7 linked regions of the Oryzias latipes genome follow. The main gene of each other region encodes a partner of the protein of the gene in region 3 in a complex. Links are inferred from orthologs where the notes say so. Each region holds a gene or a part of one and is shown on either strand. Other genes may lie near its edges.

Region 1 (4,256 bases), on a different chromosome or scaffold from region 3:
TAAATCCCTTTGTGCATTTGACCAATCGGATGGAGCCCTTTTATGTTAGATGCTCGCCTCATAGGTAGACGAGGGTCATTTGGAGTGTAAATAATTGAAACTATTTACATTTTACGAAACCCTTGTGATATCTTAGATGACCCCACCCTTACATCGACGTGTTCTCCCTACCATGACAAATGTGGATAAAGGTGGAAAGATGTCATGTAATCCATTGACACCAGTGAAGATCACAAATCATTGAAGAAAAAAGGTTTAGCGCACTGTCTAGTGGGTCTAGATGACCCAACTCCCAACGTTAAAATGTCTAGGATAGCACAAGGGTTAACCCTTGTTGTTGTAAAATTAAAATGCAGCTGTTTTTGCTATTTGTTGATATGTAGCAAGTATATTGTCATCGCAATATTGATCACCAATGTTGCAAATTTTCCTCATATCATGCCGCCCAAGTCAGGACTAAAGGGAGGAGAGCCAAACACTCACACGAAGGCAGAACTTCTGTAGATTTTTTTTATTTCAATAAAAGACACCTGAATTATCCAGACTAAGAAAGCCACAAACTTAGGCTTCCATGAGGTTTGGTATTTCTGCTGATTAGTGACAGTTGGTAGAAACGTATTCCTCCCATGAAAGCAGGATAACTTGGGTTTCTATATGTCTTTTTTTTTTAAATCTAATACGACTACAGACAAACTTTCCCTCATTTTTCCTTTGATGAGTATCTGACCTTTTCAGTTGGTGTCCAACATTTGAAAGGAATTATTTTCTGTCTAGTAAAACACATCTTTACCATTTTTCCATGAGAACAAATATACTCATTTTGCTGGAAGCCTGTTTTGAGCAAATTTCAAATTACTTTTATAAATGTACTTGTGCTTAAAAACATACAAAAACCATCTTAATATTCAGATTCTGATCCAGTGAAGACATGAGTCCTGTGCAAACTCCAGCTGCAAATGAGAGGAGGTGCAAGACCTGGACAAGCAGCTTAATTTTCCTCTCTTCATAACCAACTTTAGGGTGGATTTTGTTCAAAGGAAATCCTCCAGATCGGTTCAACATCTGCTGAAAACACCAGAAATTAAACAATCATAAAACCAAAACGGTCACTGTTTGTTTCCACTTGACTGTGAAGCAAAGTCTTTAGTCTTTGGGTAGTGGGATCCCAACAGCCATCTGCTGTCCCTGCATCTGCTGCTCGGCCTGCCTGACCTGATCCTTGGTGCAGCAGTCCTGCAGGAACACAGCAGCTAGGTTGTGCAGCCGGGGACTCTCAGCAAGAGAGAAACGCAGCATGCACTGCAAGATGCCTGGCTCTGTGAGCTGAGATTGTGAAGCTGGAGTCACAAGGTTCATAAGGGTAGTAATTGCTGATAGCACTGTCTCCTCCCTCTGGTTTGACAGACAGTTTGTGATTAAGCTGATGCCGTCACTGTCCAGGATGAGGTCCCTGCAGTCTGGGTCCATACTGAGGTTACAGAGCCCACCTGAGAAAATTTAGACCAAAAAAAATGTTTTTCACTGCATTTATGGTACAAAAAAACCCAAATGATAATCTAAAAAGATTCACCCATTCCAAACTCAATAAAGTTCTCGTTCTTCTCAGTCAACATATCCAGAAACAGGTCGGTCACTTGCAGCTGTCGCAGATACTCTGTGTTCTTTGGGTCGTAAGCAAAGTTGGCGAGGTTTGCCAAAACCTGCTCCTTTGCCTCTAACGACAACAGAACATAAATAAAAAACACAGAATCAGATTCAAATTCAATTAAATTACATATACTGGACATTAATGACTGAAACGGGAACAAGGACCAAAAGCAAGATAAATTTAATCCACCAGAGGGCGCTTTTTTACACCTCAACATTAAAAATAAGACTAAAGACCTGCATTCCTAAAAAATTATTGACGGACAATAATATGTAGTTTGATCCTTTATATATTGCATATAAAAGGCTGCAAAAGTCTATCAGCATAAATCATTAAATGGCATTTGTTAAATTTTGGTTTTATTGATTTTTAAAAAACGTCATTATGCATTTTTAATTTAGTATTCAAACATGATCGTCAGAATTACTAAAGCATAATTATTTAAAAAAAAAAATCTTAAAAGATAAATGCATTGTTTTTTTCCTGAATAATCTGTCCTGTTTCTAAGCATTCAGATTTTAAAAATTAAATTTTTGTAGTTTATATATATATATATATAATAAAATAAATAAAAATAAAAAAATAATTATATATATATATATATATATATATATATATATATATATATATATATATATATATATATATATATATATATATATATATATAAAGTGACTATCATGGATTGATATAAGTAAGACATGCTTTCATTACAATGTTTATGCATTAACAATTTAATTTCAAAGAATTTGTTGTAAACTAGCAATAATTCTTAGTTTTTCTAAATGAATCTGCGAGCTATTTGTGTTTTTACCTTCACTGTCACTATCCTGAAACTCTGTGACAAGAGCCTGTAAATATTCAAACCGGTCAGAGGTTTCGGGTGAAAAGTTCCGTTTCATCATTCAGTATCTTATATTGTGTTTTTAAGAAGACAAACGCGCGATTAAAACAAAAAAATAAAATACATTTGAAATAGTATCCTCATTTATGCATTTGGTTTCAGTAGTTCGTTCATTTTGTCCGTCTTTCAAATACGTCCGGCTTAAATTAGAATTTGGACAGTGGTTCCGGGATATTGTTTCGTGACTCTTTTTTTTTCTTCTTCTGAAGACTGGATGAACTGTTAACGCAACAGAATAACAATTAAAAATGAAACCCAAAAGTAGAATTAAGCTGTTCTTACATAAAAAAGAGCTGTCAATTTATTTTATCACTTAAAACGTTGTGATTTTTAATAATTAGGCCTATAATGTTTCGGTAATAAATCACTTTGATTTAATTTAATTAAATGATTACTTTTTGTCATAGACGATAAAAGCAAATTACTTTACGAAATTCAATTCTCAAACGGAAGTCGGTACTTCTTTGTCGACATAGACGTCAGTGCTGGACCGGAAGTTGAGGCGCTCCAACGTCCCTTCAGCTAACTAACTCACGCGCAGGAAGGTCAGCTGAAAACAAACTCACGTTTCTGTTGCTGTTTGGATTCTATGCCGTGAACCTTCTGATTTAAAGTTCTGCAGCAATGAAGCCTCACAAGCTCTCTGCAGCTAAAAGGCTCACGAAACCTATTCTGTTCGGGAGCATCATTGTTGGACTTGCCACTGTTTACATAAACAGGTGATCTATTTTCTTATTTTGTATAAAACAATAGGAAAGTTATAACGCAAATATAGACTTTAGTCTATATATTCAGAATATTTTTTTATGTGTTTAACGTTGGAGATTGTTGTCCTTGCGTAATGACGCTGACGTTTGATTGTAATCAAGTTTAAGAAAAACACTGAAAACATGTCTGTACTGTCCTTAAGTACAAATTAACATTGGAGCCAAACCATAATTTCATTAACAGGAAATTTTGTCTTTAAATATCTTTAGTAATAGGAAAAATACAACTATTTTTATTTTGTAGCCCTTTTTATTTCCAAAGCAAGGCATCACAGACACATACTCTTTCTTTGCACCACAAAAAATACTAACATTTAATTATATAAGTGTAAGACTGCAGGTAACAGCATTTTTAATTTATAATTAGTAATCATTTGTAATGAGACACTAATGTTTTTAATTAGTAGATTATTTAGCATAATTTCAGTTTTTGACCAGTATCTTCTACAACCTGGAGTGCAATTACTATTTAAAATAAATTAAAGAAATCTAAATAAATGTCTTTGTAAAATATATCTTTAAAATAAGAATCTTTTTTGTAAAACATATTGTGTTATTGGAAGTGGGGGGCTTTTTCACTTCACAAATTTCTCTTTTCTACATTGGTGTCACGTTTTTGACACTTAGTGCAGCTGCTTTTATCAGATTACATTTTTTAAATTTTTTTTAAATTTTTTTGTGTGAAATCTGCTCTGGTTTAGTTGGTGTACTGCTGCAGAGATTCCTTTTCTAAAAAAAAGTTTTAAAAAGAATTTGAGCTGCAGATTGTGCTTTTCCAAACCAGGTTACTGTCTTAAAGAGAGCCCATTTTTGCATTTTGTGGTTTAAAATGCAGCTTATTTTTGTGTCCTGTGTTTGTATTTTTCTGTCTTGCAGACACAGGTTCTTTGAAGATGTGGATGAACTTCGGGCCCAGGAGCGCGCTCGCAATGACGCC
Region 2 (4,123 bases), on a different chromosome or scaffold from region 3:
GAAAAAAACAAAGCCATTTATTCTCAAAGGTTGTAGAGAAACTCACATTTATGCATAAAATCGTAAGCAGTTAACAGAAAAAAAAGACAGGATCTGCAGTCGTCACTGGTGTCACTAGGTAGAGACACTCTGCAGCAAGGTGATGTTGTCGCCCTTTAACATAACCCGACCTGTGAAACAAGGAAAGAAATTTATCTTGACATTTTAAAAACTGACATTCCTGAGTGTATAACAAATAAATACTGACTGGAAAAATATTTCTATGTTTTCCTCAAACAAATATTTTGTTACAGCAGTTCTAGAAACAAAAGCTAACAGTACATGTTAATAAATACAAAGAATATTCAAATTTTTCATTGTAAAATAAATAAATAAAGCTGTTCTAATAACTGCTAAGATCAAAAAATAGTAACTGAAATTTAACAAATTAAACAAGCTAAAGAGTCTTACCCAGTGGCTTTCTGTTCTTGGTCTTCATGTGGACCTCCTCAGCATCATCTAGAACCAGGTTCATGTACTCATCAAAGCCCTGGAAAATAAAATAAAAAGGAAATAATCAATTAACTACTTTCATAACTGAAGCTGTTTGGATTCATTTAAATTCAGGCTCTCAAGGTTTTTCCCCCCCAAGAAAACGGCACAGGTTGTTTGTTTTTATTTCGGCTAAAAACAGCATAATCATAGTTAAAAGATCACCGAGAATGTTCTGAAAATAGATTAAAGTGTCAAGAGTGTAGGACCGGCAATTTCAATTGGTCTCCTAATTCATGCTTAGTTTGTCATTATGCTGTTCTCATTGATCATTTACCTACTGTATTGTGAGTCTGAACCAGTGTGTGTTTTTTTTGTTGCCGTTTTCAAATACATTTTTAAATCAGCTGCAGAGTTCTGCTCTACTGGTAAGAAAGGTGCCCGCTGCAAAAGCAGCTAAAACAGAGCCCCAAAATAGTCGTAGAAAAAATTTCTGCAAAACAGTTTTAAGTTGATTATTGTGGATCTAACACCAGCCATTAAGAACTTTTACCAAGCTCCAATAAAAAAAATAACTAAAATGCTAGGTCAGTGGTTCTCAAACTTTCTCTTGTTCCCCCTTTTGGAGCGGAGAAGGAAAACCTGGAATCGTCGATCGTTTTTACAGTCTATACCAGTTTTAAAGTAACTGTGGCACACATTTGGAAAGTTAACAAACACTGTGAAAGTAAAATAAAGAGAAATCTTACAATGATGCAGCCTTCTATCCGCATGTTCACCTGCTCATAAAGCCACACCTGGATTCGTGAGCGCTGCAAAGCAAAGATGACACGAATCAGTATTTCAGTCACCACCGAGACAAAAGGTGAACCTGCAAGAGCCTTCAATACTCACGTTCTGAAGGTATCTGAAAATGAGGTTCTGATGAACAGAGTCAAGGAAATGACATGTCTAAACCGTTTCAATGTTACAGAAGATATTTCAAATAACATGAACTAGTCATTTCAATTTCAGTAGAGTGACACAAACTGTTTTGCACTTTAACCGGAGAGCTGAGATCCTGTTAAATACCAGTGAATGTCATACATTTCAATGTAAGCCAGTGAAAAAGGACTTCACAAACCAATTACATGACCGAAATGATGAAATAAAGCTATGGATGACGCAGAATTTGCTCGAAAGTCCCACTCAGATCATTTTGATCTATTTTTGAAGTATTATCGGCGGTCTTTTAACGTTAGTTATGCCTTTTACCAGCTTACAGAAATTCTGCAATTGTTCTAGAGTTTTACAGTTTACTATTTAACTTCTGCTGATGTATCCACGTTATAACGTAAACTGTAGGGCAACCATGTCAAAACAACTGAAGACACGCTTAAAAATGGATTTAAAACGGGTTCTGGCATTAGATTTTCTCTTATTTATTGACTTTGTTAGGGGTTTTTTTACGAGTCAAATTTTAATGGTATTCTTAATTTCTTTAACATCTTTTTTATTTTTTTATAGATGACATGTCACTTCATAATCAAGAAAAATAAGAAAACAGGTCTCACACACTCACAGGGACAAACTTGAGTTAAGTTAAAAACCAAATAAAAAACTACAAAATATGACCAATTGTTACAACAAATCAAAAGAACATTTAATTATCAGACCAAAGTAGTGCATTTAACTAATATTATTAGTTTAAGTCGTTAAGTGCAACATCTCGATTGTTGACTTCTTTTTTCACTAAAAGAAAACTCTGCCAAAGGTAAACGTGTCATTGTTTTCTTCTTTCCAATTAAACAAACGTATTTTTGTAAAATGTATAATAGTAAATTGATAACCCATCATATTGCTATGTACGTTTAGAAAATGCTAAAAATGTTTGTTTCAAATTCAATTTCTTTCGAAGTACAACGTCGTGCTTAAATTTGATCGATAAACAGAAAAATACGTGCTTCAATACTGAAATTAAAAAAAGTCAGTAAATATGCATTCCAATGTATTTAGAAAGTCATGTAGTACCTAGAAAAAAAAGGAATACAGTTTACCGATGAGCAAACACGAGAAATAACCGATTAGCATCGCTGCTAACAAATGCTAACAGCAAAGAAAGGATACAATGGGCTGCACCATAACCTTCTGCACCTTCTGTCCTTGTCCTCGGTAAGCCATTCTCTTCACACGCAAAAAAGACACGCAAGAAGTATTTCGTTAAAGAAATATTGCCTTTTACAATTGAATGATTTCAACGTTCAGCTCACGATGCCAAGTTGCCTTAATGGCGGGTTTCTTTCCGCATCCGGTTCCTGCACTGAAAGGTTTCCCTTCACCGAACAAGCGCCACCTACAGGCAGGATGTCAATACTGCACAATTTGATATTTGGTCAAAAATTACGTTCAGTGTGAAATCCTTCAAATATGCAGACTAATTATGACTTATAAAAAGTATGAAAACACATCTGGTACCAATTAAAAGGCTAAATTTAATAATTAAGTTGTTTTTGAGTCACCATATTTTTTGTCAACGTCTGTTTCAGTACATATTTATTTCTTAATCCTGAAGGGAAAAATACAAAGGTTTTGCTTCGACTTTTTTCTTGTACATTTTCAGTAATCGTTTATTTTTGCTTGGATTAATTTCAGTGATTAACACAAGTACCAATAATATTTGAACAGCTTTCATATAGCAGAAAAGAAGGTTTAAATATTGATACATCAACTAGTTTGGATATAGCGTCATTTACTTCATAGATGTTCAATTGTTGGATGTATATAGTCTAATTTATCATTTAGATTTTTATTTTTTTATTTTCCTATTACACATAATATTAACAAGCATACAGATATGTAATTACTGTAGTTGTTTTTGCAACACAAATTCAATAAGTGAAAATTGTTGATAATTTTTGTAATTTTTCCATAATTGTTCAAACTTTTTATTATTATTATTTTCTTACAAGTAATTTTGTTTTCAATATTAGAGTTTAATTTTGTAAACTATTTCCTAAACATTTATCTTGACCAGGTTCTACTGTCACAGCAGTGACCTATTTTATCCAAAAGAGGGCAGCAGAGAAAAACAAAAACATAAGAAACAACTCGAGCCCAAGATGAACATTAGTAAAAGGTTTCACTTCACTTTCCTTATAAATAAACTTAAAGTTCTAATCTGAGTTCTACAATAAACATTGTTAAAAAGTGCAGTCGATTTAAAGAAGTTGTCTATAAAAGTATTTAGTCAAGAAGGTGAGAGGTACAAATGATTCTTCTTGTTCAGTAGTGTTCTTTCTTCAAAAAGGTTTAGAATTTATCGCATAACTTTTGTTTTTGATTAAATGTGAAATATATTTTCACCTGCAGATGCAGACCTATGAATTTAGCAGGAACATGAGCTCCATTGAGGAGTGTTTTTTCCCCACCTAAGATTTTTGTGAGCTAAATTAAGAATATAAAACATAAAAACATGTATGTGACTTTCTAATTACATGTGTGTTAAATTAAATTAAATTAAACCCCACTCTCTCTCACACACCTAAGTGTGCGAAATTTGTTTCCGCATTTGACCCATCCTGGGGGAGCGGTGAGCTGCAGACACAGCTGCACTCGGGAACCATTTTGGTGGATTTAACCCCCCCAATCCAACCCCTTAATGCTGAGTGTCCAG
Region 3 (3,938 bases):
TAGGAGGAGAAATATTTGAAAAGTTGTTTATTGAAGGGGATTTTATTTAACCCCATGAAGGGTAAATCAACATCTCCATATACTCTCTACACAACTTTCAGTCGTTTTCTGCAAACGTCAGGTGGAAAGGTTCTCGTCAATCATCGACTCGCTGGTGCTTCAACGCAACGTTGAAGGAAACTTCCAGCTTCAATATTTGCAAAATGTTGTGATAGACCGACTGTTCAATACTTCCTTTTGTTGTTTGATATAGTTCCAGAAGTAAGCATGTTCGATTAGACAAGAGATGTTTATGCTTCAGCCTCTACGCTTGATTGGTGGAGAAAGTGTTTAAAATAAGAGCAGCTGGCAAAAGTAATTGGGCAAAAACGTCGCAAGAATTGGTTGAATTCATGTGAACTGGTGTGATTGCAAAATCCAAGAGGATCTGATGGAACAACAAAGAAGTCCTCGATCTAAAATAGAAGTACTGTTTATGATTCAGGTAAATTGCTACCTGATATATTGTGCAGGAGCGAGTTTGTCGGCGGCCCGGACAGGCATGGCTGCAGCAATCTTTTGCGACACCTGCTTTTGTAGAGCGGCCCGAGTCTTCTCAGTCAACTGCAAAGAGCATCCATCCCCAACCATGAGAAACTACACATGCTTACAGTAATTAAAAACAATAAGTAAGGGCACGCTGAAAGACAATTTCACCAAATCGGATGAATGAATCCTGAATGTCTGCACGAGCCCGAGCAGCAAATTACCTCTTCTACAGCCTCCTCATCCGGCTTCTGAAGGCCTGAAGCGTCTTCATTAAGAACTTCTTTTGGGAGCAGATCAGTGTACTTGCTGTAAATCACCTACAAAAATCAAGAAGAAAATTATAGAAATAATCTCACTCAAAATTTACCAATATGGCAAAACATGCAGACTCATAGAATAGGATAGATTGTGTAAAGCTGCGTTTACACTAAATGCCATTTGCGCATTAGGAGTGTCCAGTTTTAATGTTAGCTTAACGTAAAGAAGCAATCAGATTTGATTTTGGAGCTGCACACCAGTCTGGCAGCCGCGCGCTTTTTTGGCTGTTGCGGTGCGTCAAGAGTTCAAAAATATGAACTTCGGCAAACAAGATGCGCCGCGTCAACCAATCAGGGACTCCTCTTCGGACCGGGATGCGTTGAAGATGTTATAAGTGGATCAAGACACACAAAAAAAGGTCCTGAATGCAGAACAGAAAGTCGTCAAACTGGGTTTCCCTTTCAGGAGCAGATGTGGGAGTCTCTGGATGATCTCATTGATCAAGACATGGAGACGTGCCTATCGACATTTTTGTAGAGCTCTTCAAAGTAGAAAAACGTGATATCTCAACATCATCCCTGTCTGCAGCAATGAGGCTAAAACCGTTTGGCGGTAGCTCCTCCCACATGCGTCTGGAGTGTCGTGTATGAACACCAATAGAAATGTAAGGATCAAACATGGTTTTTACAAAAAACAAAACACTATAGTGTGCATTTTTTTTAAATGACAACCAAACCAAGCTGTATTACCAAAGTTAAGATTAGGTCCCACATTTCTGTGGAGATTCTGTCATCCAGAACATCGGTTCTTCAGCTGGACTTTTAGAGGTCAATTTAGAATCTGTCAAGTCATATAATGAACCTCTCATGTTAGTTTGATAAAGTTCATCGTGTCTTGTATTATTAACTGACTTGTTGGTTCTTTTTTATGTGAAAAAATACAAATAAAACACAGCCGTGTCTGATAGGAATAGAACCAAGAAGTCAGAACCTCTCATGTATTTGTGGACACTAAGAGCAAGAATAGGGTTTTAAAGCTCCTCACTGACTGCCAGAAAGAGGAAAAGCTCAAGTACCTTATCCTTAGCCTGTCCTTGTCTGGCAATGGCATCATATTTGATTTTCCCTTCTGCGTCCACTTGAACTGCCAGGGCGTTAGAGGTCTTCTTCTTCCTGCCCATCTCCAGAGGAAACTGGGCCACGTGAATCTCTGGAAAAGCCCCGCCATCTCCGAAGTCCTAGGAACACCCAGAATGTTTTGTAGAAATGCGAAACTAGGCAGTGAACCAATGTGTAATCCATTGAAGTGCACCTCAAATGCACGCGGAACCCAGCCTTTTCTGTGTCCGTAAGGAGGGGGTTCTTTACGGGACGCAACCAGCGCAGTGGAATAGGATTTCTGGGTCCGAATCCGCTCTTCTGCTTCCAGCTGGTCCTGAGACAGCTGGGTCGGTGCCGGTAAATAGCTGTGCAAAACAGGTCCACATAATGCAGTTTAAAGACAACTTAGCAAGTCGCTGTAAACGCGGATCAGCGTGAAACGACGTCAAAGTAGCAGGAACAAAAACTGCAAACCTGAAACGTTAATGCAGGTAAAGAGGTTTATTTAACACGATATCAAATACATGTGTTTAAGTAATAGATTAAACAAACAAGCTAACTTCAGAAACGGTCGTTTGAGGGTACAAGCTAATGCTAACCCCGTCTCACTAGTTAGCACTAGCTAGCATTAGCTAACATCATAAACACAGAAAAGAGCGAAACGTTTAAAGTTTAACTAAATATTTAACGTTTAATATTAAACCAAATAAATGTATAACAAACACAGACAGAAACTCCGATCGCATTTTGTGCCTTATTCGCCAAAAGGCCTCACTTAGAGACTTACCTCGTCAGAGACATTTTCCTTTCTTCCTGAACTATGAAGTGAGCATGCGCAAGAACAGGCCGTAAGCGAAAAAGAGAAGAAGGTTGCCAGGTTTGACAATTCTAAGCTCTAATACATATCAAACCATGTCCAGTTCGATAAAAACAAAATAAAATAAAAGTACATACTCGTTTTACAACATTTTATTTGTTATGTTAACTTGTTAAGTTAATTACATAATAAAAGCCAATGCACACAAAAAACAGGCTTTCACCCACCCAATGAAAAAAACACGAAACTTTATACATACACTTGTGCTTCCCACATTTTTTTCTAATTATTAAAAAACCCTATATGTTGTATTGGCCAATCATCTATTCATCTATAAAATAAAGTTATTAAATATTTAAAATAATTGAAATAACACAGCCTTTATATTTTCTATGCATACAAATTTGGACTTGCTTTACTTCTGACGGCCGCTTATCCAAATTCCTTTAAAAATAAATTACACCCTGTACCAAATAAGATCTTCTGGCTGCATCATAACTTATAAACTATAAGAACTTTGTCTCTGAACAGCAACTACACAGTGTTGTGGCGCAGAGGATCAGAAAAAGAGCTTTAAGGCTTATTTGAAAAAAACAAAACAAAAAACACTCAGACAGTACACTACAACTCTTATTATTATTTTGTTCCAAACTTCACATTTATAATTTCTTCAAATCATTCCCTTTTTTTTTTTAAACCTTAGAGCCACAATGGATGGACATGTGGCTCCATAGCCTCAGGTTGCAGATCCCTGCCCTGGACTCAGCAGGCCAGGTTCCCAATGAAGAAACACGGGAGTCAAAGGTAAAGTTAAGAAGTTAAAGCAACATTTAAATTACACAAAAAACAACAATAGAAAAATAATAATTTTATAAAAAAACAAGGATGACAGAATAAAAGAATGATATGCTTGAATAAAAAAAATGCATAAATGTTTTTATAAATTACATAAGGATACTTCAGATACATATTTTGTTACTTCAAAAGAGGATTTTTTTTTGGTGGATGGAAACTTCCTCCATTTCCTTTGGATTGTTTTCATATTTAATAAAAAGTATCATTCATATTCAGGAAGAGACTCAGACTGCCAGAGAACTTTTGCTGAAACAGAAGGAAATCCCTTAGGATCTAATAGAAAACAGGTAGCCACCTTATTAAGTCCACTCATGGATAAGTGATTTCATATCCTGCTTTCATGCAGATGTTGCGAGTCTAAATCCTTTTTCTGTCAATCT
Region 4 (4,270 bases), on a different chromosome or scaffold from region 3:
TCCCAAAAGCAATGCTGCTCTCAGACAAGTTTTGGTAGGCTCTTATCATCATCTGCATCTCATTTCTGACCCGGCACAACAGCAGACCTCTCTCCGCACATTCAATGGTTACCTGTCTGATGAGTTCATCTCAAAAAGGAAATAAGATGCATAATACATTTATATTTCATAACTATCCACATTTTTACTCGGAGATGAGCTTTGTCCCGACCCTCCGCTGTCTTACCGAAACACTGGGAAAACAGAACCCAGCGGATGGGGCAGATGCCAGTTGGTTTGGCCTTTTTCTGCTTTAGCTTTATGTTCAGCTGCTCCTGCAGATGAATGACATCTTTCCTCGTGGTAATGGCTGTAGATACTTTCTGCACCCACTGTTGGTCCCCCTCTGTCCATTCTCTGTAATGGTAAGAAATCAGAATTTACTTGGAAAATCATTTGACAGTAACTTTTGGATGCTTTCGGGATCTTAGATTGTGTGTCAGCTTTTTATTTTTGAATTAAGTAAAAAGCAGACGTATGTGTGATAATGCACCTGTGGGCAATATTTGCTGTCAAGACTTGATCTTTTTAAGTTGATGAAAGTTGGACATTCACTGAGCTACAGGACCTTTCCTCTTTTCCTTGTTAGACATTAGGATTTGTTGGTGATCTTTGGATCACATAAAAACTACATTTGTTCCAACTGTAGCTGTTCCACTGTGTTGTTTAAAGTTTTTTGAGTTACATGGCATGAAAAGCATCTGTTTTACAAAAAAAAAGCCTGATTTTATTTGATTTCCCAGATTTGACTTTTGAGAAATAAAAGTTGAGGATGGTCATTGTGCTCTGGTGCATGCCACAGTCTATGTTTGTCTGCATAACTTAGGAAGAAGAATAAATAATAATGAATCTAGAATAAATAAATCTGAATCGTTGTGCTTAGGTGAGCTTTTGAGGTTTTCTTTTACCTAGGTGGTAAGATGGCATGCAAAATGTTTTCATCCAAATTCTGTGTAGGGGGAGATGGAACACCTGCTGCAAAGCTGGGAGCTGGAAGGTTGCTCAACGTTAGAGTACGTCCCTATTAACGAAAAAAAAGGGGGGAAAATTGTACATTTATTTGTATTATTATTTTTTTGTAATTTCTTTTATTATTTTTGAAGATTTTATTTGGTAGCCTTTCATTGTCCACAATAAAGAAATTATGGAAGTACAATGAGATTTCTAGCCTTAATTGATATAGTTTCTGGGCGCCAGTTAAATAGATCATTAACCATCAAGACTTACCTTTTGAGATTTTTTATCTCCTTTTGTTTTTACCAATATCGGATTATCGTATTTCAAGAGGGACTCGCCAAAAGAAGTCATCGTTTTGAGGTGAGAGAGCAAGTTACACGTTTTGTTAGAAATACCGTTTCACTGTTTGTGTTGTCATGGCGACACTTTTTCAAAATAAAATAATATTGATTTGAACAAAGTTTCATTTAAGAATACTTTTTATGTAATACGACACGTATATGTGTCATCAATGCTTCAGTCTATGACAAAAAAAACTTGAACATCACGTTTTCCCCATTTAAAACGAATTAGGCCATGGCGGAACCAACAATAGGGAGCACATGGAGCACGTCGAGGGGATTAATTTGAGTCACCGGAAACGGAAGTTTGTTTTCACAACGCCAGAAGTTTGGTAACGCATCAAAGGTTTTATTTTTTATCTTGGCTTGTCTTTGTCTAGCTACTGTGTCGTGTTTTGGTTGAATTGAGCTCAAATTTATTGGAAAAATAAACTAAAATGACTAAAGAAAAGCGAGACAGAAGAAGGGAGTCTCCAGAACGGCAGCCCGAAGTGAAGATAAAGCAGGAGAAACTGAGCCCGAGTAGCACTAGCAGGCCACACAGATCACGCAGTCCACAGGGGAGACGAGCTAGCAGGTAAATGTCTGAAGGTTTTACTACGATTCATGACGTAAAACTGTCTAAATATAAAACAATTCACAACATTATTTTTTTGTTGTACTTTCGCTGATGAAAATCTAGCTTCCGGTTTTCATTTTTGACGGTTACGGAATAAACACTTAACGTAAGGGATACCCGGTTGCTCCAAAAGAGTTTTGATCTGAGGTTTCTGTAAATCAAATAATCCTTAACACGTTTGTGTCAAAAGTAGTATAAGTATCTGACTCGTATCAAGTAAATCTTGTTTATTGTTCTAAGATATTTTATTACCGTCTTGCTGATAAATCAAGGTTAGACTAGAGACATAAAATTTGCTTTAATTTTTTTTTTTATTGAAATATACTCATTACAAAACTCTGGCAGACACAACAACACAATGATGCAAGGCACAGCTCTTCACGAAAAACAAAGATAAAAAAAAAACAAGAATGTATACATATATAAAAAAAACTATCAGCATAAATTAAAATACAAGGCAATCAACAATCTGGACCCTAGATTTGTAACCATTCTGTAGCAGATTTACAAATGTCATCAATGAAAGAATTTGAGTTGTGAATACATTTCAATGAGGATAAATACAATCTGACTTCATTTTTAAAACACAGGAAATTCGGCCGATCTTTTTTCCACTTTTGCTTATGAATATATTTTCCCAAAATCAGGAGGATGTTCACTATTTGTTGGCTCTTTTGGCAACTTACTGTTTTAAAACAAAATATGTTTTTCTGTGAATTGTATGTTGTTAATTTTTTGACTAAGCCAATTATGAAAATCTTGCCAGAATCTTTCACTGGTCTGGACATGAAAAAAACAGGTGTTGGGTTGTTTCTGGGGTTACCTGACAGAAATCACACGGATCAACCTCAAAGCCAAATCTACTTCTCAATGTCTCTGCCGATGGGTAATAATTGTTTATAATTTTGAACTGCATTTCTTTAATTTTGGGAACCACTGGCCATTTTATGAATTTCCATAGTTGAGCATCTGATGTGACAGGTGTCTCAGTTATTTTATATTTCACTTTTCTGTTAAAGTCATGGTATAATTTACCTCTAAAGGATTTGTTTAGCAATTTATTATCACGTTTTTTTTCACTAAATTTTATTTCTCCTATTACTAAATTTGGTAGTTTAATTTGAACATAGGAAGACAATATTGTATTTTTTATTAAATGTATTGAAGCAATTGGAATTGCTCAGCAGGTTTTCTGAAATTCCTCGGTTGAGCATTCAATATCATATTTACCTTTGAAGTCTCTTAACTGAAGAATTTCTCCATTTGAATCAAGAATATCACTTACAAAATGATCTTAAGATAAATATACTTTATTGATCCCAGCTTGGGAAATTGGGTTGATGCAGCGTCGGCGTTAGGCTCAAGGTACAAACATACAAACAATAGATGACAACAGAGAACCAGAACAATTTTATTTATTTTTTTATTTGAAATGGTTTATTTCAAGCAATTAAGTAGAAATAATACACAACAGCAATATAATCATCAGTTATACATTCATACAGTAACTAATCAAACTTAGGATAATTATACATATTAATAAATATTGCTTGAAAGGGAGTGGAAGGAAGCGAATTTATATAATCCCACCCCGTTATACTGTAACCATTTTATTACATGATTTATCAATATCCGGTTCCCAGTTTATATCATACAGAATTAAAAATCATAAGATATCGATAAAGCACATGACAAAGATGAATTACTTAAGTATTACGTCAAAAATAACTATTTTAGAAATCAACATGGCAAATGCAGATCAGTCATCTGAAATATATGCAGATTATGTTACTTATAAAAGCCATTCATATGAATAAAACATAATACTATATCAGTAAAGTAGACACAACACTGTTTCAGGAATTTTCATAGCAAAATTTCATCAAGTATCAAAAGTTAAAAACATGTGCAAAATTATGCTACATTAGGAAAGATTTTTGAATCAATTTATCAATTTTTGGAGAAAGTGAAATAAAATCATTAAAAGGCAATCAATTTAACAATTTTCAATAAGTCATTAATCATTTGTTTTACTTTTTTAAATATTTTTTTTGTATTTTTATTATTATTTTTTTTATAATAAAGTAATGCTGTAGGGGGAAAGTAAAAAGGGTCCATAACTGTCGATTGTCCAAGGTTGGTCTTTCTTCTTTAACTGATAACAGCCGTACTTCTGGGTTCAAAACAGAGTTTATAGTTCTCTTCGATGTTATGACTGCAGACATTAGATTCAGGTCCATATCCTTCTTCAGCTGATATCAGCGACGGTGAAAGTTGAGGTCAAGTTGTCTGCAGGTCAGAACTCTCTGCTGTT
Region 5 (4,165 bases), on a different chromosome or scaffold from region 3:
TGAAACCGAAATTTTTTTTTTCACATGTTAGTCTTTATCTAAGTAGAATCAGATTATTTGGTGCATTTAAATGAAGGCAAACACATGATAAAACGTTGATTTAAGCTTTATGGCAGACTAATAAAATGTGTTATTTAAAACGGATTGAAAACAACTAAATCACTGATTTCTTTTTTCTTTCAAAATGTCAGAAAGTTTTTACCTTAAACACTGAGTTTTTATAAAATGTCAAACTTTTTTCTTGCCATCTACAGTAGAGCCACGTAGCAGCTGAGATTTCAGACTTCCTGTTAATCTTACAAAACAAAACCAAGGACACTCTGCTGGTTGTTGTTTTTTTTAGAACAATCCAAATACCTTGATGTCATTGTCGATGCCTCCAGACAGGATTTGGTCGCTGGTGTCATTAAACGTCACGGCCAAAACTTGGTAGGTGTTCTGGAAGGTGTGAATTGCCGCCTTTTTACGGATGTCCCACAACTGCAGTGACGATTAACAAAAATACAATAAAGCAACATTTAAAAACTTTGAATGGGACCTCAACAGTTGAAGCATTCAGAATAAATAACTGCACCTAAAATAAAAATGTCACACCTTTATCGTCCCATCATCGCTGCCGGTGCAGACCAGTTGTGGCCCCCGGCGAGCTGGGTAGCAGGTGTTAACAAAGGAAGTGTGACCTTTCAGGCGCTTAATCCTCTCCCCTGTTTCACTGTCCCAAATGCCCACGGTCTTGTCTGTGCTTGCCGAAAATAACAAGCTGGAGGCACAAAAATGATCCAGTCAAATTTTATGGAAAGGTTATTTAAGAAATGTAGATAGTTCCAAGTCCTAAAATTTACAGATGAACATTTTTTTTGTTCCATAAAGTTCCTTAGTTTTTGAAATCAAACTAAGACTAAGAAACAATGAGAATATGAGCTTTACTTTCACTGTAAACATAACCTAAAACAAGAAAAATGTCAATTTAAAGGTGAAGTTTAAAGATAAAATCTACAGCTTTCTTCCTACCTGCCATCTGTGTTGTAATGCAGCTCCATCACAGCTCCACTGTGGCCCTTCAGGGTGGCGTAATTTTCACACTCCCCAAAAACGTTCCACAGAACTGAGGTAAAGGAAGTAAGTGAGGAACAAAGCAACAGAAGAAGGCCGGGAGAACGGCAGCTTGCCTCTTTTTGCTTACATATGAGTCGGTCGAAGCCAGAAGACGCCAGCGTGGCTCCATTTGGATGAAATTTGCAGCAGTACACCTCGCCCTCGTGGCCCGACATCAGCATGATGGGAGCTTGCAGGCTGGAGGTCCGAGGAGGACCCTGGAGGAGAAAGGTCAGTTTAATTTACTTTCTGTTTTTTTCTTCCAGATTTAGTCCAAGTGAAATCTAAAAAGAAAACAGGCATGTGATAAAAGACAGATAAATAAAAGTGCGTTTGGGCTTAATGTGCCACAGAACGCTTCAGAGTAAAGTCCACAAAGTTTAATGCAAATCTGCAGCAGACCAGTGAGGAAATGGATCATTTGTAAAGGATCAAATTGATCATGTGACACAAAGGATCTTGCCACCCTATGGTGGCACACTTTCCATGCAGGGGCTTGTGGTGCAGAGGCAGAGCGGTCCACCTGATCACAAATATCGCAGGTTAGGTTCCACAAATGGGTGGGCAAGGCGGGAACCTAACCTGCGATATTTGTGATCAGGTGGACCGCTCTGCCTCTGCACCCTATGGTGGCACACTTTCCATGCAGGGGCTTGTGGTGCAGAGGCAGAGCGGTCCACCTGATCATGAATATCGCAGGTTAGGTTCCCGCCTTGCCCACCCATGTGTGGAAATGTCCTTGGGCAGGACACTGAACCCCACATTGCTTCTGGTGGTTATAGTTTGGCGCCAGTAAGAGAGCGAAACCGCCATCAGTGTGTGAATGTGTGTGTGCATGGGTGACTGTGAATGTGACTGTTGCAGGTGATATGTCATGCAGATTTTTGCAACATCAAAAGATGATTGCTAAAATGAAACCCCAGTGTTTAAAAGCTATTTATTTTTTACAATAGAAAAAAAAGATTTAGTATCTATCCTGTTAAATATCCTATAGTTTTGTCTCAATAATCAAAATATCTACTTACAGAAAAACATCTACAAACTGGAAAAGGTTTAAATACACAAAACTCATGCTTAATAAAAAAAATAACATTTTTTAATTTTCTATCATAACATTAGCCTAGGATTTGTAACCTGTTCACGGTTCACCCCGGAAACACCCATAACTGGGAAAGGTTCCTTTACCATCAGTTTGTTGATAACAACGGGATTTCGAATATAATACGTATTTTAAAGAAGCAACATTACATCCAAAAATTAAATATCCTAGCGAAAACTCGTGTTGTTATTCGTTGTCATGTGTTCTCTACGTCAAGAAATAATAGGTGCACCACAAAAAATGTCGTGTTTGAGTAAATTTTAGATTACATCATTTAAAGCATGCATAATACAAATGCGGGTCAACACCCGTGTGTATATATTTTCTCTAATTTGAGTTTTTTTGTGTGAACGTTGATTCTTTTCGTACCGTAGCCACGAGTTGCTGGGACTGTGCCGCCGCCACCAGCTCGTTCCGGGCTCGCTTCACAGCGGTGGGAATTACCGCCATGTCTCCCGCTCTTTTCTTTGGTTCAATCATCCCGAAATAATTGCAAATAATCGACAAAAATAAGTTTGTTTGTGACTACGGTTTACCGAATGACTATTTGCGCCTTCATGGGAAACGAGAAAAGCGTAGCACCAACGAAGAAATCAGGATGAAGTGTTTCCGGTGAGTATGAGCTGTGTGATTGGTTTAAACATCCATCTCCTGCTGTGATTGGCTGATGAAGACGTTGTCAGCGACAATGCACCGGAAGTACAACAATCTGAGTTCAGCTAACCACACGAAAGGTAATATTTTCATCCTTTTTTCAAGACTTAAGATACTTTTTGCGTGATTTTCCTTATCGTTCTACCACGACAAACGCCTATACTGTTCATGTCTGAGCTTTTGTCTTTGAACTGACGGTACAAACCGTAAGAGGACGAAATTATAAGCTAACCAAATTCATTGCTGACTTGTCTTGTTGTCAACTTAGATTTTTTGTTCGCTCGATTATTAAAAAACAACAACTTTGAGCTAATTTTTACATAAATAAAATTAGTAATTATATTTCTTTGGTACCGGGAAGTTAATGCTTTATTGCGACAGGTTGGCTTCATCGTAGTTTAAAATGACACGAATGACAATTTTCATTTTCAACCACATATTTGTACAAATAAATATCCCAAAAGGCACAAGGTCATTCTTTATTTGCAAGAAGTGAACAGCACAGCAGAGGTTAAAAATTTACCGAACTCTTTCTGTCAACCACATTACCTTTGAAATTAATTCATTTTCTTTTATGACTTTCGTTTGGTGAATTGGATGAAAGAAGATTGCTGTTTCATTTCCTCTCCCAAATTATGTAGAAATCTAAGAGAGGCAGTAAGTTGTCTTAAAGGGAAGAGTTTGGTCGGAAACCACGAAGATAAAGGGATTGCAAGTTTTCACCTCAAGGTCTCTGCTCTCTGAATTGTCTGGGCATAAACACTGATGGCAAATCTATCCATTTTGTAAACCCGTTTTGTCCCTTTCGGGGTCATGGGGCTGTCAGAGCCTTACCCGGCCACTCGCATGTTTTTGGATGGTGGGAGGAAGCCGGATCTCCTGGAGAAAACCCACGCATGCACAGATTTAGAGTAAAGCGCTAACCACTTTGTCACAGTGCAGCCCTGACCGCAGATCTGTACAAGGCAATGTATGCCACCTTAGTGCTGACTGATTGAGGAAACATCCAGGGGTTTTCTCTGAAAACTCACTTTACTGTTATCATCTCTAGTTACATAAAAAACCTGGTCTCCAGTTTGTATACCAGCTTCAGCTTGTACCAGACAATGCAACTACTTGGTTTTGGGAAACAGTACTGGTATAAAGTTGGCACATACCGATTCTAAACAGGTACTTATGACTGTGGCAGAGCACCTCCTCACTTGTGGGTACCAAAATCTCAAAACTAGAGTAGTTTGAGCAAAAAAAATCTAGGATGAGCATAAGAGATTTGACATTTGTGTGGCGAGCTCAGCTCAAATTAAGGGAGTGATAAAC
Region 6 (3,500 bases), on a different chromosome or scaffold from region 3:
ACAGGCAAACAACAAGCTAACAGGCAAACAACAAGCTAACAGGAAAACAACAAACAAGCAACAAGCTAACAACAAACAATAAGCTAACAGGCAAACAACTAGCTAACAGGAAAACAACAAACAAACAAGCTAACAACAACCAAACAAGCTAAAAACAAACAAACAAACAAGCTAACAGGCAAACAACAAACAAACAAACAACAAGCTCACAACAACCAACAAGCTAACAGGCAAACAACAAGCTAACAGAAAAACAACAACCAAACAACAAGCTAAAAACAAACAAACAAACAAGCTAACAGGCAAACAACAAACAAACAAACAACAAGCTAACAGGCAAACAACAAGCTAACAGGAAAACAACAAACAACCAAACAACAAGCTAACAACAAACAACAAGCTAACAGGCAAACAACAAACAAACAAACAACAAGCTAACAGGCAAACAACAAGCTAACAGGAAAACAACAAACAAACAAACAAACAACAAGCTAAAAACAAACAAACAAGCTAACAGGCAAACAACAAGCTAACAGGAAAACAACAAGCTAACAGGCAACAAACAAACAACAAGCTAAAAACAAAAAACTAACAACAAATGAACAACAAACGAATGAACAACAAACAAACAAACAACAAACGAACAGCAGGTGAACAGCTGGCGAACTACAAACAAAATATGAACACACGAACAACAATCAACCAAAAAGTACCATTGTAAAAGTACCAAGTAAGTAACCAGTAAATTCCATAAAAAGTACACATGTAAACACTGTAAGTACCCAGTAGTTACACAAAAAGTACCATGTAAATACCGCTTAAGTACACTGTAAGGACTGTACTGTAAAGGAAAGCGTTACTGAAAACCTTAGAGCCGGTTTCCAGGGGGGTATTCCAGACAGTAGGTTATGCTAGCTCTCACGGTAAGTTTGAGGCTAAGGAAGTTGATAACCTCAGCTTTCAGTTCCAAAAACAGAGGTATGTTTCAGGGTATGTCAAGTTGCCATAGCAACTCATGCTCTGAACATAACCTGGTCTGGAGCAGGTTTAGTTGAAGGTTAGTTTGTTTTCAGAGAGGTGAAGCAGCATGGCGTGTCCATTTGAAGATGATTTAGTGGATGAAGAAGCTCAGATAATACTTTTTCCACCATGAGAGGGGGATAAGACCACATATGGATGTTGGAAAGAGAAACTTTTTTACTTTGATCTAACTTAGTTATTTGCTTCAGTTAAGATAAATCCTTTGTTTGTTAAGTCAGTTTAAAAATAACACGTAGTTTTCAGACAGTCATTTTACTTTCATTCAAATTAATTCAATTAAGTAGGTTTAACTTTGGTGCTGCTGTTAGACCGGCACCGCAAGGGATTGTGGGATACCATTCCTTTTGCCTATCTGGACGGATTTGGGTTTAAGTGTGGCTTTTTGACCAAATGTGTTTAGTTGTTTAGCTGTTTTGCCGAGTTATTTTGTCCCACTGTGCTTATGTCTCTGCACCATGAGTGAGAGTGAAGGAGAGGATGATGAGTTTATAGAGCACCCCTACCGTTACATATTGTAATGACAAAGACGGACAATTCTTTAATGAATTTGTGCACAATGTGCATTTCTTTCCCGTCCTTTTTATTGTTATAAAAATGAACATATCTGCCGGCTCATACTTAGACATATGAGAGATCAAGAAATATAATTAATTAAGATGGAAAAATATTAATTGAATTGGAGTAATATGACATTTAGTTAGATAAATACATAAATTTGAGTTGTAAAAACAATTATTGAGTTTTATAGACGTAAGAAATTAGGTTGATTAAATTTAACTCAATTATTTGTTACCAATAGAAGTATTTCATTTAAGGTGGCAAAATTGGATAAGTTATATATATATGCGTCACAAGGAAAATGGAAATAAGATCAGAAACTCGTGCGTTTACTTTGTCTGTTCTTTTTCTCCAAGCAGAAACTTTCTTTTGCTGATGATGCAGCCGTGTCACTTTTTTGATGGTCGTATAATCTTCATACGCCGTCATTAATCTCAGACTCCGTCTCACTGAAGTATAGCGTTCTCTTTTTTTCTCCACGCGTTTCCATGGTGACTCCAGAAATCGGCGATCTATTGAGAATGTCTTTATGTACCTGCTGTGCACGTGCATTAACCCAGGGTTACCAAGTGGAGCGTAATTACACCAACTCATATCCGGTCTTTGGGAACCGACATACCCAGAGTAAGCAAGTTCAGGCAGATTTCAGCCAGAGTTCAGGCTTAAAGTCAGGGGAGTTTAAACATGCTTCCTGGAATACCCCCCTGAATAACTGCAATATTGATAATAAAAACATACATTTGTTGACTCCTTGAACATCAGAAAACCTGGTTTTCAGAGAAACGATCAACTATTCATTGAAGAAAAGCTGATGGTTTTAAAATGCCGACAAACTAAAAGGACATTAAAGGCAAGAGAGGCTTTCATGAACTCAACGTTTTGATTTAACATGATGGATGTAAACCTGGAGGCACGCCTCTTCGCTGCAGCGCTGAGGATTTGCGGCCCTCTCGTCCTCGCGTGCACATTTGTTGACACGGCGTTTGAGCAAAGCCGACAGCTCAGTGAGCAGAAAATGAACGTGGAGCCACAGACTTTACACGTTTCTGCTCCAGTTGCTGTGAAAGCTCAGACTTCACCTCATTTGCTGTGTCTGTTCTCTCAGACCACCTTCACCTCCAGACCGCCATGTTCAGGAAACCTCTGTGCCAAACGCAGCCCAGCAGCAAAAAGAAGCTTCAAAATGAGGAGAAAAGCTGCTCCAGTCTGACTGATTAGCTGTCATGTCAGTCAGTCCAACTCTGCTGTAGCTGCACACCTGTCTGTCTGGCTCCCTCTTGTGTTGGAAGCAGATATGGCACTTTTCATGAGCTGCTGGCTAAAAACGAACAGCTGATCTGACAGTGAAACGATCCAGACGGTTCATTTTACTGACAGAGCTCTGCTCCGTGAAGCAGCTTTCATTAGAGGAAAAACCAAACAGGTTGGCATCATTAAAAACCTGCTGTCCTTGTTTTCCAGTCAAACAAAAAGGCAGCAAGGCTCCTACGGTATTTATCATGTGACCAGGAACAGCTGAGCCATTGGCTTCATTTGTCTGAGTTGAAATGATGGATTTGAAAAACAAAAAAACAGCTGAGATCTCTGCTGCATGTGGGAGGGGCTGAGTCACTGCTGCATTAGGCAATTGTTCAGCAGTAAAAACAGAATCTGCTTCATAATTATTCAACAACTCTGAGGAGAAGAACAAGAAGCTCTGACGCTACGCCAAAACAAAGTGTGTCAGAACAACGTCAGGAGGAGTTTATTCCTATCAGGGTTCTACTCACAGCATTTAGTTTGTCCGTTTTCTTGGCCTCCGGCTCCTTCATGGTGGAGGCCAGCAGCTGATCTCCTTTGTATTCCTTGTAGAGCTCGGCTAAGGTCTCCCTGGTTTCCAGATTGGTGCTGTTCAGATGGTA
Region 7 (3,500 bases), on a different chromosome or scaffold from region 3:
TTGGTCAATGTTGTAAAGGGTCCATCTGAGAGGTCAAATGCAGAAATGGATTTATTTGATTCGTTAAATACTTTAAGGTGTCATAGGACTGTTTGAGCACATTGAAGGGAACCATTTATTGCAATTTTTCGCCGTCTTTTGCGATATGCGTATTGTATAATAATTGATTTGCGATTTATTTTGCAGGCCTACATTCTAGTTTTTTAAATTATTTGATAAATAAAAATGACTTAATAAAAGCAACGGAAACTGTTCTTCAAAGCAGAATATCGTATATTAGCCTCAGTTGTTACTGAGGTTTTTCAGAAGTTATGTGCAGTGTTTTTTATCTGACCATAAGCTCACCTCCCTCTGACGATATTTTCGTGTAGGAGCTCCTGGATGATGTTGACGATGTTGGACACGTTGACTTTGTTGATCAAACCGTTGATGGACTTCTTCAGAGCCTCCCAGCTCATCCTCTGATAGGCCAGGCTGTACAGGCAGGCAACGAGTTAATCAACTGGCTAATAAACTGACTTCAGCTGCTGAACAGACAAATAAATGAAATAATAAGTGATCTGAAGCTGCTAATAAAACGTAAAAATGGTGAATAGCTTGATAAAAACCTGCCACTAAAATGGAAAGTTCCAGAATGGGTTCATACCTTTAGTTAAATAAAAGGTCTTAATCTCTGTCTCACCTGCTCTTGTCAGTGATTTGTTGCTGCATCATGCGCAGCTTGGCAGGGGGAATGTAAGCACCCCCGGTCCTGGTCAGGATCGGATCAATCTCCTCCTTTTTCTTCTTAACGGGAGGCTTTTCGGCAGAATCTGGCTCCTTGTCATTGGAAGGAGAAGCGGAGCGGCCCCGCCTCCTCTCACCGGACTCCATATCCCTGTTGCCTCGCCAATCAAAGCGTCCATTTCTATCGTCGCGTTGATCCTGGTAGCGATCCCTGAAAATCAAAAATATTCAAAAGGTTTTGTGTCAAACCCGTGAAAGGTTCGATTTCTTGAGACTCACGTTCGTCCAATCTGTTCAACATTAGTTCTAAAGAGTGGATTTAAATATGTTAAAAGACTTTACAAAAATAATTTTGACCCAAAAAAAAGTTAGGTCTACAAATAAACATGGGGAAAAAAATGATAAATCCAGCAAAAAAAAGAACATCTAAGAGTAAAAATAATTATGACAAACCTTTGATTTAAAATAAGATAATTCTAAACTAGGGTACCCTAACATATAAATCCACAGCTGCTTAATGAAATTCAAAGAAGTTTTTCCTTCTATTTAAAAGAAATAGGATGAAATCAGACAGTGTTGGTGTGTGTCTAACAGTTACCGAGCATAATATCTTCTGTTAGAACGGTCTGGGTTCCGGTCTCTAGATTTGGACCTGGATCTGTCCCGTCTTCTGGACCTCGATCCGTCTCTTCCCCTGGATCTTGATCTGGATCTGGATCTATCACGACCCCTGGACTGAGATCTTTCTCTCTCCCTGGACCGGGGTTGGTCTTTCTCACCCGACTTGGATCTGGATCTGGATCTGGATCTGGAGTTGTCCTTTTCCCTGGATCTGGACCTTGCTTGCTCTTTCAACTCCGGTCTCTGAAAGACACAAACATAGGACAGTTAATCAAGACTGCCAACTTAAGCTGTTCACATCATGCAACTATGTGAGCTTTTGGGTTACCATTACAAATCAATCTAAAAAAACAAATATTCCATTTCTATTGATTAAAAAAAGACATTTTTTTGCTTCCAAGCTTTAGTTCAGTTGAGTGACGGAAGCAACTCTGCAGTCCATCGTCTGTCTACATCCGTCTGCTTTAAATAAGAGCCTGCAGGTAACTGGAGAGCTCGTCTCTCAGAAAACAGTCATTGCCACAAAGTCTTCTTTCATTTGTTATTGTCTCAATCAGTACTCCAGTTTTTGCTCAGATATCCTGGGGTGCCTTTCTTCAATAAAAAAAAAGCTAATTTCCCTCTGCCTGAAATCTCAATTAAGATGCTATTTTTTTTTAATCTGAAATTATTAATTACAAGTAGTATTTAAAAGAATTTAACATCAGATAAAATATGTTGTATTTAGTCACAAAGTCAAGGTATCTATTAAAATGATGCTCATGATGGCAGAAATGCTTAACTAAGATTCAGATGATGGCAGATGGAAATGATATTGCATCTTTTTTGGCAGCTTTCTCTGCGAGTTTGTTTAAACTAAATGGTGGTCAGTTTTCATTCATGAAACCTGAAGACTTTAAATCAACAATGTAAAAATAGTGGATGTGCAAATGTCTACAGTACATAAAGCTTTTCTGGGGCACAGTGTACTCTTTAAACTGATAATAGTGTGACATCAGAAAAAAAGAGGACATTTTGATCATTAGAAAAAGAAAAAAAGCTTTGAAATGAATTAAGACAAGTATATAATAAGGACACTCAGACATTCAAGAAGAAACCTTTACAAAATAAAAAAGTTAATGACAGACTTCACACATTTAAATTCCAGATGCATCTGATTTTGAAAAGCCAGACAGATAAAACATGATTTTCCAAGTCTTTAGGATTAACAGCACAATGTAATATATTTAAACAGAGAAGTTAATTTCAATAGTTTATTTATGTTGACTCTTTTTTTAAACTAAGAAAGACAAGTGGAAAATTATCATTAAAAGTTGAAGTTTTTTCTTCTTTTTTTCTCCTTTAAGGAGTCTTAAATAGTATATTCAAAACAGACACTTTCTACATGGAAAAGAGTATTAATTTCCATAATTCATTTCAAAAAATTGAACTTTTATAGTGTAAAGGTTTGGGGCCCACCATTTAATTGATTTCAAGTGTATTTGTTTGGGGATTAATTGGAGTTCCAGCTCATAAAACCCACAAAAACAAGATTTCAGAAAATCTGAATACGGTACTGTGGGGAAATCTCCCCTTTTGCAAGAAGATAAAGACGGAGGTCATGATCACATGAAATCCATTAAAATAATGTATTTTCAAAATGATATGTCGATCTTCATTGCTAGGTTGGGAATCCCTTAGCCTTAACAACTGCCTTGATGCACTGTGACATTGATGCAATCAGCTTGTGGCGTTATGGGAGCCCAGATTTTCTTGATGCTGCCGTCAGCTCTTTTTTTGTTTGACCCCATACATTTTCAATGGCCTTTAGGTTTATCGAGTTGGCAGGCCAGACGAGCATCAAACCAGGCTTTGGAGCTTGTAGCGATATGGGCGGGGTCTAAGTCCTGCTGGAAGATGAAATCTGCGTCTCCATCCAGATCCTCAGCAGGAGGAATCATGAAGTCTTCTAGAACAGTGGTCCCCAACGTTTTTAATGCCACGGACCGGTATGACGTCACAGAAAGGTTCCTAGGACCCGTCTTGAAACTTGTAGACAGATGATTATGGTCGCTATGCCATGATAAACAAGTACCAGAGTCATGGCAAGACGAAGCCTGAGCTTTTATTTTTACACGCATGACATCGTACAGGTGTCATCATCCTCTCCCCTT

Evidence for each region.
Region 1: snw1 (region 3) and armc7 share a complex: the UniProt entries of both Homo sapiens proteins name them as parts of the minor spliceosome. The link is inferred for Oryzias latipes from reciprocal best matches to the Homo sapiens genes SNW1 and ARMC7.
Region 2: snw1 (region 3) and snrpe share a complex: the UniProt entries of both Homo sapiens proteins name them as parts of the minor spliceosome. The link is inferred for Oryzias latipes from reciprocal best matches to the Homo sapiens genes SNW1 and SNRPE.
Region 4: snw1 (region 3) and snip1 share a complex: the UniProt entries of both Homo sapiens proteins name them as parts of the SNARP complex. The link is inferred for Oryzias latipes from reciprocal best matches to the Homo sapiens genes SNW1 and SNIP1.
Region 5: snw1 (region 3) and snrnp40 share a complex: the UniProt entries of both Homo sapiens proteins name them as parts of the minor spliceosome. The link is inferred for Oryzias latipes from reciprocal best matches to the Homo sapiens genes SNW1 and SNRNP40.
Region 6: snw1 (region 3) and ppil2 share a complex: the UniProt entries of both Homo sapiens proteins name them as parts of the minor spliceosome. The link is inferred for Oryzias latipes from reciprocal best matches to the Homo sapiens genes SNW1 and PPIL2.
Region 7: snw1 (region 3) and cwc22 share a complex: the UniProt entries of both Homo sapiens proteins name them as parts of the minor spliceosome. The link is inferred for Oryzias latipes from reciprocal best matches to the Homo sapiens genes SNW1 and CWC22.

The regions. Positions count from the first base shown.
Region 1 is NC_019877.2:19,372,938-19,377,193, reverse strand, and holds armc7 (armadillo repeat-containing protein 7), read right to left. Parts: upstream 2,801-4,256; 5' UTR 2,554-2,800; coding exon 2,463-2,553; intron 1,715-2,462; coding exon 1,571-1,714; intron 1,488-1,570; coding exon 1,144-1,487; 3' UTR 497-1,143; downstream 1-496. UniProt on the Homo sapiens protein: As a component of the minor spliceosome, involved in the splicing of U12-type introns in pre-mRNAs.
Region 2 is NC_019863.2:23,629,254-23,633,376, forward strand, and holds the start of snrpe (small nuclear ribonucleoprotein E), read right to left. Parts: upstream 2,801-4,123; 5' UTR 2,632-2,800; coding exon 2,578-2,631; intron 1,393-2,577; coding exon 1,366-1,392; intron 1,284-1,365; coding exon 1,221-1,283; intron 530-1,220; coding exon 451-529; intron 171-450; coding exon 115-170; 3' UTR 1-114. UniProt on the Homo sapiens protein: Plays a role in pre-mRNA splicing as a core component of the spliceosomal U1, U2, U4 and U5 small nuclear ribonucleoproteins (snRNPs), the building blocks of the spliceosome.
Region 3 is NC_019882.2:3,678,808-3,682,745, forward strand, and holds the start of snw1 (SNW domain-containing protein 1), read right to left. Parts: upstream 2,801-3,938; 5' UTR 2,688-2,800; coding exon 2,674-2,687; intron 2,252-2,673; coding exon 2,098-2,251; intron 2,024-2,097; coding exon 1,862-2,023; intron 846-1,861; coding exon 750-845; intron 604-749; coding exon 497-603; intron 1-496. UniProt on the Homo sapiens protein: Involved in pre-mRNA splicing as component of the spliceosome. As a component of the minor spliceosome, involved in the splicing of U12-type introns in pre-mRNAs.
Region 4 is NC_019874.2:23,603,914-23,608,183, reverse strand, and holds the start of snip1 (smad nuclear-interacting protein 1), read left to right. Parts: upstream 1-1,470; 5' UTR 1,471-1,598; coding exon of another isoform or gene 1,599-1,669; 5' UTR 1,670-1,774; coding exon 1,775-1,914; intron 1,915-4,270. Other genes in the region: dnali1 (axonemal dynein light intermediate polypeptide 1), read right to left, coding at 1-129, 227-396, 948-1,060, 1,267-1,347. UniProt on the Homo sapiens protein: Required for pre-mRNA splicing as component of the spliceosome. As a component of the minor spliceosome, involved in the splicing of U12-type introns in pre-mRNAs. Down-regulates NF-kappa-B signaling by competing with RELA for CREBBP/EP300 binding.
Region 5 is NC_019869.2:21,982,921-21,987,085, forward strand, and holds the start of snrnp40 (U5 small nuclear ribonucleoprotein 40 kDa protein), read right to left. Parts: upstream 2,801-4,165; 5' UTR 2,675-2,800; coding exon 2,564-2,674; intron 1,314-2,563; coding exon 1,184-1,313; intron 1,106-1,183; coding exon 1,012-1,105; intron 761-1,011; coding exon 595-760; intron 481-594; coding exon 358-480; intron 1-357. UniProt on the Homo sapiens protein: Required for pre-mRNA splicing as component of the activated spliceosome. Component of the U5 small nuclear ribonucleoprotein (snRNP) complex and the U4/U6-U5 tri-snRNP complex, building blocks of the spliceosome.
Region 6 is NC_019867.2:618,824-622,323, reverse strand, and holds part of ppil2 (peptidyl-prolyl cis-trans isomerase-like 2), read right to left. Parts: coding exon 3,369-3,500; intron 1-3,368. UniProt on the Homo sapiens protein: Has a ubiquitin-protein ligase activity acting as an E3 ubiquitin protein ligase or as an ubiquitin-ubiquitin ligase promoting elongation of ubiquitin chains on substrates.
Region 7 is NC_019879.2:6,700,180-6,703,679, forward strand, and holds part of cwc22 (pre-mRNA-splicing factor CWC22 homolog), read right to left. Parts: intron 1,591-3,500; coding exon 1,325-1,590; intron 938-1,324; coding exon 683-937; intron 475-682; coding exon 346-474; intron 1-345. UniProt on the Homo sapiens protein: Required for pre-mRNA splicing as component of the spliceosome. As a component of the minor spliceosome, involved in the splicing of U12-type introns in pre-mRNAs. Promotes exon-junction complex (EJC) assembly.